Sus scrofa: one gene and its partner. Each later gene encodes a partner of the first gene's protein in a complex. Links are inferred from orthologs where the notes say so. Each region holds a gene or a part of one and is shown on either strand. Other genes may lie near its edges.

Region 1 (6,667 bases):
TGCAAAATGTGGATAACATAACCTGCTTTGGAGAGTTATTGTAAAAATTAAAGATAACTGATATAAACTGTCTTGCATAGAACATGGCAGAATAGTTACCTACCTTTAGGTGTTTAAAGGTGATGGAACAAAGTAATTAAAGTTAAGACATGTTGAGTTACTAATGGTCTCTGATTTTTTTTTTTTTTTTTTTTTTAGGGCCACCCCTGCCGCATTTGGAAGTTCCCAGGCTAGGGACTAAATTGGAGCTGTAGCTGCCAGGCTACACCACAGACACAGCAACCCGGATCCAAGCCACATCTGTGACCTACACCACAGCTCATGGCAACACTGGATCCTTAACCCACTGAGCAAGGCCAGGGATCCTGCATCCTCATGGATACTAGTCAGGTTCGAAACCCATGGAGCCACAATGGGAACTCCCTGATCTCTGTTTTTATACTCTAAATATGAGGAAACCAAGGAAAACCAACCCCATTAAATGACAGTGAGATGGCATAAATTTTTTTTCTATTGTGATAGGAAGGTGACGATTTTACTCCTTTCTTTTTTGGTTTGATTTTTTCTGTTGGCCTTAATTGGTGCTGGGTATAGAATGTTATTTTGATAGCTTAGTGATGCTTAGTAATTTCCAAGTTTCTTACAAGAATTTATTTCACAATTTCTCCCAATAATGGACTACAAATACCAGTTACTGTTAAAGTAATAAAGTTTACAGAGATTCTGTTAACTACATGTGAATGCATGATTATCGATAATATAAGTGTAGTCTTGAGACATTTAAGATTAAGGGTATTGCTTTCATAGAGTAGACATTTAGTAAATATACTTTGTTTTTTATCCTTTTTTAAGTGGGTCTTTACTTTTTTTTTTTTTTTTTTTTTTTTTTTGCTATTTCTTGGGCCGCTCCCGAGGCATATGGAGGTTCCCAGGCTAGGGGTCTAATCAGAGCTGTAGCTGCCAGCCTATGCCAGAGCCACAGCAACGCAGGATCCGAGCCGTGTCTGCAACCTACGCAGGATCCGAGCCGTGTCTGCAACCTACACCACAGCTCACGGCAAAGGCAGATCATTAACCCACTGAGCAAGGGCAGGGATCGAACCCGCAACCTCATGGTTCCTAGTCGGATTCGTTAACCACTGCGCCACGACGGGAACTCCTAAGTGGGTCTTTACTAATTGTAAAAACCTATAGGGTGTATGTTTTGTCCTTTTATGCATTCAACTTAACTGGATAAAATGCAGGTGGTATCACATTATTAGGGCTGAGATAAGGGTTTAATTTGGATACTTTCTGGAAAGGTTATTTTATAGGTTTAGGCATATTCCACTTTTATATTAAACTAATCCTAACATGAAAACAGTAGACTGCTTTTATTTATTTTTCTTTTTGGCCACAAGGTACAGCAGCTTAAAGTAGGATCTCAGTTCTCAGACCAGGGATTGAACCTGGGTCCCAGAGGCAAAAGTGCTGAATAGTAACCATTACACCAACAGGGAACTCCCTGGTTTTAATTCTTGACTTATATCCTCTTAAGGCCATTCCTGAAATATTATATCTAGTCTAAACTATAATATATATAATTTCCAGGGACTTACTACTTTCTTTAAGTGAAGAGTTTATTTATTTTTATTTTTATTTATTTTGTCTTTTTAGGGCCGTACCTGAGGCATTTGGAGGTTCCCGGGCTAGGAGTCAAATCTGAGCTGTAGTTGCTGATTTATACCACAGACAGCAACGCCAGATTCGAGCCGAGTCTGCGACCTACACCACAGGTCACGGCAACGCCTGATCTTTAACCCGCTGAGCAGGGCCACGGATTGAACCTGCATCCTCATGGATACTAGTCAGATTCACTTCCACTGAGCCACAATGGGAACTCCAAGAGTTTATTTTGATAGCTGAATAAGTAGAGTTATACCTGACAAAAGATAAATGATTTCTCTCTTGAACAGAATTTGGTTTGATTGATGTAGCTCAATATCTTCAAATAACTGCAATAGAAATATTTCAGAAGGTTGACATTTTGTATGTTTGGTTTGACCGATTCCAAGTTGATAGATAATTAAAGTAAAATGCCAGTAATTTAAATCAGTTTTAAGAGGGTGTCTTTATAGATTATAAACTTAATTTTAAAAAAACAGCGCTCATTTGGTCATCTCTTGGGGTATAGCAGGTTTAAGGATCCGGTGTTGTCATTGCACATCTTGGGTCACTACCGTGGGTGGGTTCAGTCCCTGGCCCAGCAGCTTCCACATGCTGCAGGCACGGCCAAATAAATAAAACAACCCTCATTTAATGGTGTACAGTGTGTAAAAACACTGAATCACTGTACTGTACACCAGAATCTAATCTAATATGGTAAATCAGCCTATATTTCAGGAGTTCCTGTTGTGTCACAACAGATTAAGAATCCAACTGGTATCTATGAGGATGTGGGTTCTGTGCCTAGACTCACTCAGTGGGTTAAGGATCCTGTGTTGCTGAAAGCTGTGGCATAGATCAAAGACGTGGCTTATATCCCACATTGCTGTGGCTGCAGTGTAGGCTGGCAGATGTAGCTCCAATTTGACCCCTAGCCTGGGAACTTCCATATGCTGTGGGTGCGGCCCTTAAAAAAAAAAAAAAAAGGAAAAAATCTATACTTCAATAAAAAAACTTTTCTTTAAATTTATCAGAAGAAAAAGGGGAGTTCCTGTCATGACTCAGTGGTTAAGGAATCCGACTAGGAACCATGAGGTTGCGGGTTCGGTCCCTGCCCTTGCTCAGCGGGTTAAGGATCTGGTGTTGCCGTGAGCTGTGGTGTAGGTTGCAGACTTGGCTCCGATCCCGAGTTGCTGTGGCTCTGGCATAGGCCGGCAGCTATAGCTCTGATTAGACCCCTAGCCGGGGAGCCTCCATATGCCACGGGAAGAGGCCCAAGAAATGGCAAAAAGACAAAAAAAAAAAAAAAAAAAAAAAAGAAGGGAAAAAAAAAACCTTGGAGTTCCCCAGTGGCTCAGTGGGTTAAGTATCGGGTTGTCACTGCTAGGGCTTGTTGCTGCAATTGAATCAAAGCTGCAGCTGCCAGCCTATGCAGCAGCCACAGCAACTTGGAATCCAAGCTGCATCTGCTTGTGGCAACGCTGGTTGCCACCTCAGCTTGTGGCAACGCTGGTCCTTAACCCACTGAGTGAGGCCAGGGATCGAACCTGCATCCTTGTGGATTCCAGTTGGATTAGTTTCCATTGCATCACAGTGGGAACTCCCTGGCCTGGGAACTTATGCATGCTGCAGATACAGCCCAAAAAACCCCAAAACTGGAAAAAAAAAAAAAAAAAAGAAGAATAGAAGAATATGAATTAACCTCTCAGTTATCTGATAATTTGAGTTACGCTGATTAGCTTTGTTTTATAATTTAGATTTTTTGTATTTTGTCTTTGCTTTCCTTGAGGGACGTAGCATGAGCATAAAATTATGTGCTATTAGGTCTTAGGAATTTGAGGTTTCAAAGGACTCATTAGTTTTCATTAGAATTTCCAGGAGTTCCCGTCATGGCTCAGTGGTTAAGGAATCCGACTAGGAACCTTGAGGTTGCCGGTTCAATCCCTGGCCTTGCTCAGTGGGTTAACGATGATCCGGTGTTGCCGTGAGCTGTGGTGTAGGTTGCAGACTCAGCTCGGATCCTGTGTTGCTGTGGCTCTGGTGTAGGCCGGCAGCTACAGCTCCGATTCAACCCCTAGCCTGGGAACCTCCACATGCCTCGGGAGCGGCCCTAGAAATGGCAAAGAGACAAAAAAAAAAAAAAAAAAAAAAAGAATTTACATATCTAAATTTAGTAAATAAAAATTTTATTGCTACCTCTGTTCAAGTCAATGATTTCCCACCACCCCTCCAAAAGACATGTGGAAGTTTCTGCCTGGAGGGAGCAAAACTAAGCCAGACCTTCGACCCCCACCTCAGTGGCAGCAATGCCTTATCCTTAACCCACTGTGCGCTGGGCCTGGGATCTGACTGGCGCCTCCACAGAGAGAAGCTGGATCATTAAGCCACTGTACCACAGCAGGAACTCCTAGACTGGTTTTTATTTATTTATTTTTTGTCTTTTTGCCTTTTCTAGAGCCACTCCCAAGGCATATGGAGGTTCCCAGGCTAGGGGTCTAATTGGAGCTATAGGTGCCCGCCTACACCACAGCCACAGCAATGCTGGATCCTTAACCCCCTGAGCAAGGCCAGGGTTTGAACCCGAATCCTCATGGTTCCTAGTCGGATTCGTTAACCACTGCACCACAACGGGAACTCCTAGACTGGTTTTTAAAAGTAGGATATTTAAAAGAAGATCCATGGTATCCTTTTTTTTTCTTTTTAACTTTCAACAGTGATGAAAAGACTGATGGTGGGAATAATGTTGAAGAATCAAGTAAATCTTCCCCTACTGTTTCACAAAGAAGAAAGCGACTATCAAGTACCTCTAGTGTGGTCAAGCCTAGTGTCAGTGTTCCCTCAGAACCTCATCCTTTATCTACAGTTAATAATCAAGAAGCTCCACAGCCAAACCCCGTTCCGACAAAAGAGAAACAGCCATGCTCAGATCGATTCCGAATATATAAAGCCCAGAAACTGAGAGAAATGTTAAAAGAAGAGTTGAGAAAAGAGAAGGTATTGTAAAAAAATCAGAATTTTGACTGTTGCCTGCTAGATTTCTGATTTTATGTTAATGAGGCATCATTTAGAGGAAAAATAAGCATCTGTAGCATTTTGATGAGAGAAACAAAACCAAATCACATCCTTCATGTTAGTACAATATCCCCTTTTGTTAACAGAATGATTTAAGAAGCATGATGGGATTAATAAGCTATTTTTTTTCCACAGTATTAATTTTTATATATTTTATTCATCTATGTCTTTTTTTTTTTTTTTTTTTTTTTTTGGTCTTTTTGCCATTTCTAGGGCAGCTCCCACGGCATATGGAGGCTCCCAGGCTAGGGGTCCAATCGGAGCTGTAGCCACCAGCCTACACCACAGCCCACGGGAATACCAGATCCTCAACCCACTGAGCGAGGCCAGGGATCAAACCCGCAACCTCATGGTTCCTAGTCAGATTCGTTAACCACTGAGCCACGACGGGAACCCCCATCTATGTCTTTGTTTTTGGCAGCAGCCACAAATAAAAGTTCCATATGTGTGCTCACAAACACATATGCTTACAAGTGTATTTATAAACTAGACCTTTAGTGGGATTTTTTTCTGAGGATGTCTAGGTATGACTGACATTCATTTGAATTAAGTATAGTTGAGCAAAATGAATTGGTAATGTTTTCTAAATTGACAAAAGGAAAATTGTAGATGGGGAAGATGTGTGTATAACTCGAGTCTATGTTCTTTTTAATCTTGAAGATTCATTGTCTGTCTGAGAAGGCAGTGTGACACTAGGAAAGCATGCATCCTCTGGAATTTGATACTTTAAGGTTTGACTCTTAGGGTCATCCTTTATTATGTAACTTTGAACAATTTAGTCTCCTGTGGCTGTTCCCTCATTTGTAAAATAGACTGATGATAGTATCCACCTTATTGGAAGATTGTGAAGATTAAAAGAGTTGATATGTGTAAAACACATTTAGACTAGTTACTTAGTAAATGGTAAGAGCCCAACAAATGTCTGCTCTTATTATTAATTATAGAATGTCCACCTTTTTCTAATTAAGAGGAAGATAAAATACTTACCTCGGTATTTTGTATTCATTATCTCATTTAAATATGTTAACTGTGAGAAGTTGATGTCACTTTTATACAGGAGGAGATAAAACTCCGAGAGGTTATTTGCTTTATGTCAAGTATCAGTGGAGGCTGTGAGACTTGAATCCATATCCTTGAAAATCTAAGCCTCAAAATGTTCTATGTTTTATAGAATCTGCTTAATTACATTTATTTTGGGGAAGCAAAAATTAAATATTTGCTTCAAGAATTTTATAAAGCATGCAGAATTCCAGTTCATTGCAGGGCAAGTAAAAGCTGTGTATGTATAAATTTTCAGTGAACCCTTGTGATTAGTCAGCATCAGTAATCATGATTTTATACATTGCACTTTATGCAGTCCTAGTCACTTTAGTTTTTAAAATTCCTTAATGTGCTCCAACTTTTTAATACTGAATTTATAATTTCTACTAAAATTAGGCATAATTGTGATAGGAATAATTTTCAAGCACTTGAAATGAATGCAGCAGTTGGCTGAATACTTAAATGTATATGGCTATAATTCTCCTTTATTTATAAAATAAAAGTGTATCTTTGTGTGTGTGTCTAGAAGCAATGGAAAAACAAACATGCCGTAAATGAAAATCAGAGGCCACAAGATCGTTCAAAAATGACTATGAGAGATTTCATATATTACCTGCCAAATAACAATCCAATGACGTAAGTAAAGTTTATTTCTGTTTTACTTCCTTTGGGTATGTAGTGATTTAAGTAAATATCATTTTTATAAAGTACAGTTTCATGTTTTCCAAAAACATGTTGACAAAATTTATGGCACATGGGATGTCCTTTTATTTTTTAATTTTAATTTTAAGTTTTTGACCACTCCAGCGGCATGTGGAAGTTCCTGGGGCCAGGGACTGAACCTGCAACAGGAGTGACAACGTCGGATCCTTACCCTGCTGTGCCACCAGGGGAGTTCCTGATGTCCTTT
Region 2 (7,184 bases), on another chromosome or scaffold:
AGATGGGACTCCCTCCAACCCACATGTCCCTGCATTCCTTCTGACTTCTACTCCAGGGCCTTGGGTCAAGTAACTGCAGAGCCCCTCTCGGGTCCTTGAAACAAGAACGACAATACCTAGACTTGTATACACGAACTTCTCTGAGGTGTCAGGACTATCACCACCCTGCCCTCAGGTCGGGGTGAGGCAGCCCCAACTCTGGATGTGCATCAGGGAGGGTTAGGACCACTCGTGGTGGCCTGTCCAGCAGCCTGGGCTTTCTGGAAGTCCCTAACTTCCTGAGGGGTACGCAAGTATTGCTCAATCTCACTATCAGAAATGTTCTCATCGCCGGTGACCGTGGAGACAGGGGGGGTGGGACAGATCCGCTTTGGGGGCTTCAACATGCAGGGTGGGAGGAGGGGGGCAGGACTCGCTGGCCGCTTCCCCTCAGGCAAATCTACAGAGCTGCTCCCCGCCTCCTCCTTCCCCTGTCCCTGCCCCGGCAGCTCCTTCTCCCGCTCGTCTGTCTCTGAGGTTCCATCTCGAAAGGCCTTGCGGACTAGCGTGTGGCGGTGCTGGAGGAGGTCACCGATGTGCTTCACCACAGACCGCTTGTCAAGCTTCAGAACCTGCAACCAGGCCAGCTGCCCGGCCATCCGCAGCAGCACGGCCAACAGCTCCTGCAGGCGGGAGGCAGCAGGGTAGGGAAGGTCCACGTTTGCCAATTTACAAAATCGGGCCAGGGAACAAGTCAGCCGATCAGAAGGCTGCAGCGACTGCCAGGCCAGGAAAGTGGCAGCAGTAACGACAGGTAGGGGATGCCGCCCAGTCACCAGCCACGTCTCATCCGCCAGCTCCACCAGCTGCAGTGTTCGAGACAGCATCTTCTCCTTGTCTTCCACGTACTTGGCTGGCACAGACGGGGAGGCTTGAAAAAGTTTGAAGCTGAAATAACCAAAAAGACGGTCTGGTCTCAACACCGACGGGATGCGGTGGGGGGTAGCAGGGGACTGCTCTTCCAAACTGAGGAAGATAGCAAGCTGTTCTACCCTCCTGGAAACACTCACGCCTGCTGGGCAGCAAGGTCATCCGGGTACCAGAGAGGACAGGATGAGCCTTCTGCTGGAGAAGTGAAGGGCAGGAGAAGGCAGGGAGCTAACATTTGTTGACCACCCCCTGCCAGCCATCCTTCTGAGTGCTTTACAGGTGTTCTCCTTTAATCTACTCAATACCCTGTTATGTGCATTGAGAGTTGGAAAAACTTGCCCACAGTTACCCAGCTTGGAAATAACCAAGCTTCAAACCCAGGATTATCTGACACCGATAGCCTTTGCTTTCTACTATTATTTACCAGAAAAAAAGGAAAAGGACACAGCTACTTAGAACAACAATAAAATTTAGCTTCTAGCTCCACCCTGTCATTTACTAATAACTTCTTGGGTCTAATCACAGGTGATCCTCCCGAGGCAGGGTCACAGCATTCAGCCACGCAAAACATGAGAGGTGGACCTCAAGAGCCCTATGCCAAGGCTAATACCTACTTCCTACATCATTAGGGTGCTGTGGGCAAAGGGATTTGAAAATTATACCATTCTAGAAATGTAAAACGGGATCAATGTGACTACTACTAAGCCTGGGAGAGGGAGAAGAGACTTCTCTCCCACATCCTTGGAAATGCGCCTGGTCAAAAAGAGGCAGCTAGAGATAAAAGGGTTCAGGTCCCACCCCAACCCAGCGTCTCCCACACAGCAGGTACCTGCTACAGTAAGTCTTCACCAGGTCTGCCAAGCACAGAGACGGCACGTCTAGCCCCAGGAGCTTCACCATCTGCATGTAGGTGCCAGAAAACACATCCAAATCTGCATAGATTAGGGTGCAGATGGTTCCCATGGTCAGGGGCCAGTTACGCTGCCGGCAGGTAATTAAGACACAGCACCCGACCAACACCTCCTTCTTTTGCAGCCTGGCAGCACGGATGCCAGAGTGCTGGTATGCCTGTTGGTAGTAGGCAACTGCCGTGTCCTCAAATGTTGGTGGTAGCTGCAGAACTCGACAGAGGTCTCTCACTCGGCGGAGACCTAGGAAAACCCATAGCAGGAGTTAGTCCCAACAATAAAGAATGATCTTTAAAAGGATGATATACCACAACCAAGTGGGATTTATCCCAGGGATACAAGGATTTTTCAATATCCACAAGTCAACAAATGTGACACACCAAAATGAACCATAGAAACCATATGGTCATCTCAATAGATACAGAAAAAGTGTTTTATAAAATTCAACATCCATTTACAGTAAAAACTCTCCAGAGTGTGGGCATAGAGGGAACATATCTCAACATAAGGAAGACCACATATGACAAACACAGAGCTAACATCACATTCAACGATGTAAAGCTGAAAGCCTTTCCTCTAAGATCACGAACAAGACAAGGATGCCCACCCTCACCATTTTTATTCAACAGAGTTTTGGAAGATCTAACCAGAGCAATCGGAGGAGGAACAGAAACAATAGGAATCCAAACTAGAAAAAGAGTTCCCGTCATGGCTCAGTGGTTAACAAATCCCATATCCATGAGGACGCCGGTTCGATCCCTGGCCTCACTCAGTGGGTTAAGGATCCAGCGTTGCTGTGAGCTGTGGTATAGGTCGCAGACGTGGCTTGGATCTCACATTGCTGTTGTTCTGGTGTAGGCCAGAGGCTACAGCTCTGATTCAACCCCTAGCATGGGACCCTCCATTTGCCATGGATATGGCCCTAAAAAGACAAAAGAAAAAAAAATAAAATTATATTAAAAATTAAAAAAAAAAAAGCGGAAAAGAAGCAGTAAAACTGTCACTGTCTGCAGATGGCATGATATTCTACATAAAGGGGTCAAAGGAGCCATCATGCAGCTCCCAGCAATTTCTGGTAAACCTGCCTCAGATATGAGATGCACAAATAACAAACCTTTCTATAATGACAACAGCGACACTTAGTGAGGACATTTGGGAGGCACAAAGTCACTTATAGAAAGAAGTCACATTTCAGTGCCCCATCTTTTGGAGGCTGGTTTGATTTGTGGCCAAGCCAAAGTTTGCATCTGAGCTCCTTAGTCTACCTCAAACAAATCCCCAAGCAAACCTGAATCTTCCACCTAATTGCTACCTCTCTTAGAACCATCTCCTCGCTCCCTTCCTTTCTTTTTTTTTGCCATGCCCGTGACATGTGGAAGTTCCTGGGCCAGGGATCGAACCCATGCGACAGCAGCAACCCAAGTCATAGCAGGACAACACCAGATCCTTAACCAACTGAGCCACCAGGAAACCCTATCATCCTTTATTTTTAATTACCATTCTCTTCAACTCAGCCTTACACAGTAATGCTGAAAACAGGAAAGATAAGTAGATGGGCTGGACCATCAGGAGAGTTTTCTTTAAAGCACTATGTCATAAAAGGTTTATTCTCACCTCGTTGCTGGCTGCGACTAACTTGTTCATTTTCCCCTGTGCTTCGGGAATATGTTACTTCTGTAAGATAATGGGCAACAAATAGCTTGTTTAGCCTCCACGTGCCACACCCTTGCCCTCCCACCACACAAAACCCAGGAGCCAAACCAGGACGCATCCACTTCTTGTCCCATCTTTGCACATTAAAGGTCCATCTGATTTTCTATGACCACAAACAGTACCCAATACAAAGAAATTTAGGAAGATTAGGACTGCACTAAAGCAGCTCCAAGTGTTCCAGCCATCTCTCTTGTACATCCAATTCAGGCAATTTTCCTGACTGAATATTCTGAGGGTTGCATTGGTCACAGACTTGAAGAGCAGAGAGGGAAGAAAAAAAAAAAAAAAAAAAGATGCTTTTGCCAATTAGTGCTCAAAACTACTTTGCGGTAATAGTATTTTCTGTATTCGTAAAGAATTGATCCGCAATCCTTCCACCATGCCCAGACTAGGTAAATTGAGTGCAGCTTTCTCTCTTGATTTCATTTATTCAGCGTTTATTAATACCAAATACCTTGCTAGAAAAACACAGATAAACCGCAGTCCCTGAGCTTCTACAGCTCACTCGTTCACTTTAGGCCATTTTCTCCCGTGCATGTGACCAGGAAAAGGCAGGAGATAAGAATCTCGACGTCAATCACTCCACTGCCCCCAGGCTGTTATCCATTGCCCTGGAAAAGCCCGCAAGGTACCTCGGAGGTTGCCCTCATCACTGAAGGTGGTCGTAAGGACTCCCTCGGTGACCACACAGCCGCAGTCGGAGCACACCAGCTGGCTCTGCGAATAGTGTGAGTCTTCCACCAGCTCAGTGGAGCCGCAATCGGGGCAGCGGCCTCTTCCCGGCATCTTACAACCCGTCCAGAGCCGAGGAAGCCTTCGGGTAACCGCCCCTAACGTCGACAACAGCAACAGTGTTGCAAACAGGAAGTAGGAGCGGAGCTTTCTAAGGCCTGCACCACCTCCTTCCGGCCAGCGTGACAGCCGTACTATGGGTAGTTCCTCCTCGGCCACGCCCCACTTCCGGTCCTTTCCTCTGAGGACTCGGGTAGAAATGTGAGCCAGGAGACGGGGGTTCCTGCTGGACTGCGTCTTCGGGTTCTCCGCAAACTGTAGTTAGTTTGAGGTGGGCTAGACTAGCAGTTGCATTTGGGTGAGCTTTTTACATGCATGGATACGCATAATATACAAGAAAATTGTTGCCATCCACAAAGAACTCTTTTTTCTAAAGCGCTAGGGGAATCGTAGATGCTCCATTTCCCTTTGGTAAGGAACGTTGATTTGGGCCATGGTACAAAGTTTGTGTCTAAAAGGGAGAGTGGTCTAGTGAGAGGGCAGGGAACTGTGTTCCTTCCAGAGCGCCTTCACCTCGAGCCAGTTGTCTCTTCTCTTTGCAGTCCATTTTTCTCAACTGTGGAATAAAGGAGTTGAATTAAAATCCAGAGTGGCACCCTCAAATGCCTTCAGAGGCTAGGCAAAGAATGTCTAAAGGAGTTGGAGAGAAAGAATATGGGGTGGTGAGGCCTTTGGCAATCTGGAGGGTTCAAGCAGATGCGGATGTTTTTAAAACCTTGAGCTTTAAGATGCTCCAAGATTCTAGCTCCAAAGTTCCTAGCATGGTATATAGCACAGATCAAAGAATCTTGAGGAAAACTGTGCCGCTAGCAGTGTTATAGAAACCAAGCTTACCAATTAGAGATTTTGTATGTCATGTTTGAGCATAAATTAAAAGTCATCAAAGAGGTATTTTCTTTTTCTTTCTTTCTTTCTTTCTTTCTTTCTTTCTTTCTTTCTTTCTTTCTTTCTTTCTTTCTTCCTTCCTTCCTTCCTTCTTCCTTCCTTCCTTCCTTCCTTCCTTCCTTCCTTTTGTCTTTTTATGGTCCTACTCACAGCATATGGAAGTTCCCAGGCTAGGGGTTGAATTGGAGCTGTAGCTGCTGGCTTACACCACAGCAACACCAAACCCGAGCTGCCTCTGCAACCTATACCATAGCTCAAGGCAACACCAGATCCTTAACCCATTGAACAAGGCCAGGGATTGAACCTGCGTCCCCATGGATACTAGTCAGGTTTGTTACCACTGAGCCACAGTGGGAACTCCCAAACTATTACATTTAGAATGGATAAGCAATGAGGTCCTGCTGTATAGCTCAGGGACTTATATCCAATCACTTGTGATAGAACATGATAGAAGATAATATGAGAAAAAGAATGTGTATGCATGTATAACTGGGTCACTTTGCTGTACAGCAGAAATTGACAGAACATTGCAAGTCAACTATAATTAAAATGTTTTTAAATAAATAAATATCCGACTGCAGCAGCTTGAGTCGCTGAAGAGGTGCAGGTTCAATTTCTGGCCTAGTGAGTGGGTTAAATGGCTCGGTATTACACAGCTATGGCATAAGTCCCAGTTGTGGTTCAGATTCAGTCCCTGGCCCAGGAACTTCCACATGCTGCAGGTGCAGCCATAAAATTTTAAAAATACAAATAAAAATAAAAACCAACCAGGAGTTCCTGTTATGGCTCAGTGGTCATGCACCAGACTAGTATTTGTGAAGATGTAGGTTCAATCCCTAGCCTTGCTCAGTGGATTAAGGATCCGAGCTGTGGTATAGGTCAAAGATGCAGCTCAGATTGGGTATTGCTGTGGCCGTAGCGTAGGCTGGCAGGTGTAGCTCTGATTCGACCCCTAGCCTGAGAACTTCCGTATGCCATGGGTAGGGCTCTAAAAAGCAAAAACAAAAAACAAACAAACCAAACCAGGAGTTCCCTGGTGACCTAGCAGTTAAGGAATTTGGTGTTGTCACTGCTGTGGTTTGGGTCACTGCTGTGACGTGGGTTCAATCCCTCACCCAGAAACTTCTACATGCCATGGGCTTGGCCAAAAAAAATAAAAAGAGAGGAGTTCCCGTCGTGGCCCAGTGGTTAACGAATCCGACTAGGAACCATGAGGTTGCGGGTTCAATCCCTGGCCTTGCTCAGTGGGTTAAGGATCCGGCGTTGCCATGAGCTGTGGTGTAGGTTGCAGATGCGGCTCGGATCCGGCATTGCTGTGACTGTGGTGTAGGCTGGCGGCTACAGCTCCGATTAGACCCCTAGCCTGGGAACCTCCATATGCCGCGGGAGCGGCCCTAGAAATGGCCAAAAAGACCAAAAAAAAATAAATAAATAAAAATAAAAAAATAAAATAAAAAGAGAGAGAGAATTAGGAGTCTATCTGTTCAGTTCCAAAACCCATGTTCTTTATGCCATATTGGTTAGAACTGAGGTCTGAGATATAGAAGACTAATGGCATTTGCCCATTTCTGCAAAAGCTATTTATGGAGTGCCCACTATGTGCCAATGTACAGGCACTGTTTCAGGCCCTGGCGAAAGAGCCGTGAGCAAAGCAAAGCCCCGACTTTTGGAGCTGATCTTCTAGCGGATGCAACACGCTTTTAGGGATGGGTGTGGCCAAAATAAACAAACCAAACCAAACAAAAACACCGTCTGAAAGTGGGAGTACCTGTTGTGGCTCAGCAGGTTAAGAACTGACACTGTCCTTGAGGGTGTAGTTTTGATCCCTGGCCTTGCTCAGTGGGTTAAATATCCAGCATCATTCCCTTCTTTTCCATAGTCAGTCTCTCTCCCTGATTGCCACATCTAAGGACCCCATCTCTTCCCCAAGAGAATGCTTTCTTAGAGCATGAGCACCACTCTCCTTTTAGAGGCGTC

Evidence for each region.
Region 2: BDP1 (region 1) and BRF2 share a complex: the UniProt entries of both Homo sapiens proteins name them as parts of the TFIIIB complex. The link is inferred for Sus scrofa from reciprocal best matches to the Homo sapiens genes BDP1 and BRF2.

What each region holds. Positions count from the first base shown.
Region 1 is NC_010458.4:47,802,324-47,808,990, forward strand, and holds part of BDP1 (transcription factor TFIIIB component B'' homolog), read left to right. Parts: intron 1-4,358; coding exon 4,359-4,638; intron 4,639-6,283; coding exon 6,284-6,393; intron 6,394-6,667. UniProt on the Homo sapiens protein: General activator of RNA polymerase III transcription. Requires for transcription from all three types of polymerase III promoters. Requires for transcription of genes with internal promoter elements and with promoter elements upstream of the initiation site.
Region 2 is NC_010457.5:48,565,478-48,572,661, reverse strand, and holds the start of BRF2 (transcription factor IIIB 50 kDa subunit), read right to left. Parts: upstream 4,456-7,184; 5' UTR 4,317-4,455; coding exon 4,163-4,316; intron 3,492-4,162; coding exon 3,432-3,491; intron 2,061-3,431; coding exon 1,739-2,060; intron 928-1,738; coding exon 210-927; 3' UTR 1-209. UniProt on the Homo sapiens protein: General activator of RNA polymerase III transcription. Factor exclusively required for RNA polymerase III transcription of genes with promoter elements upstream of the initiation sites.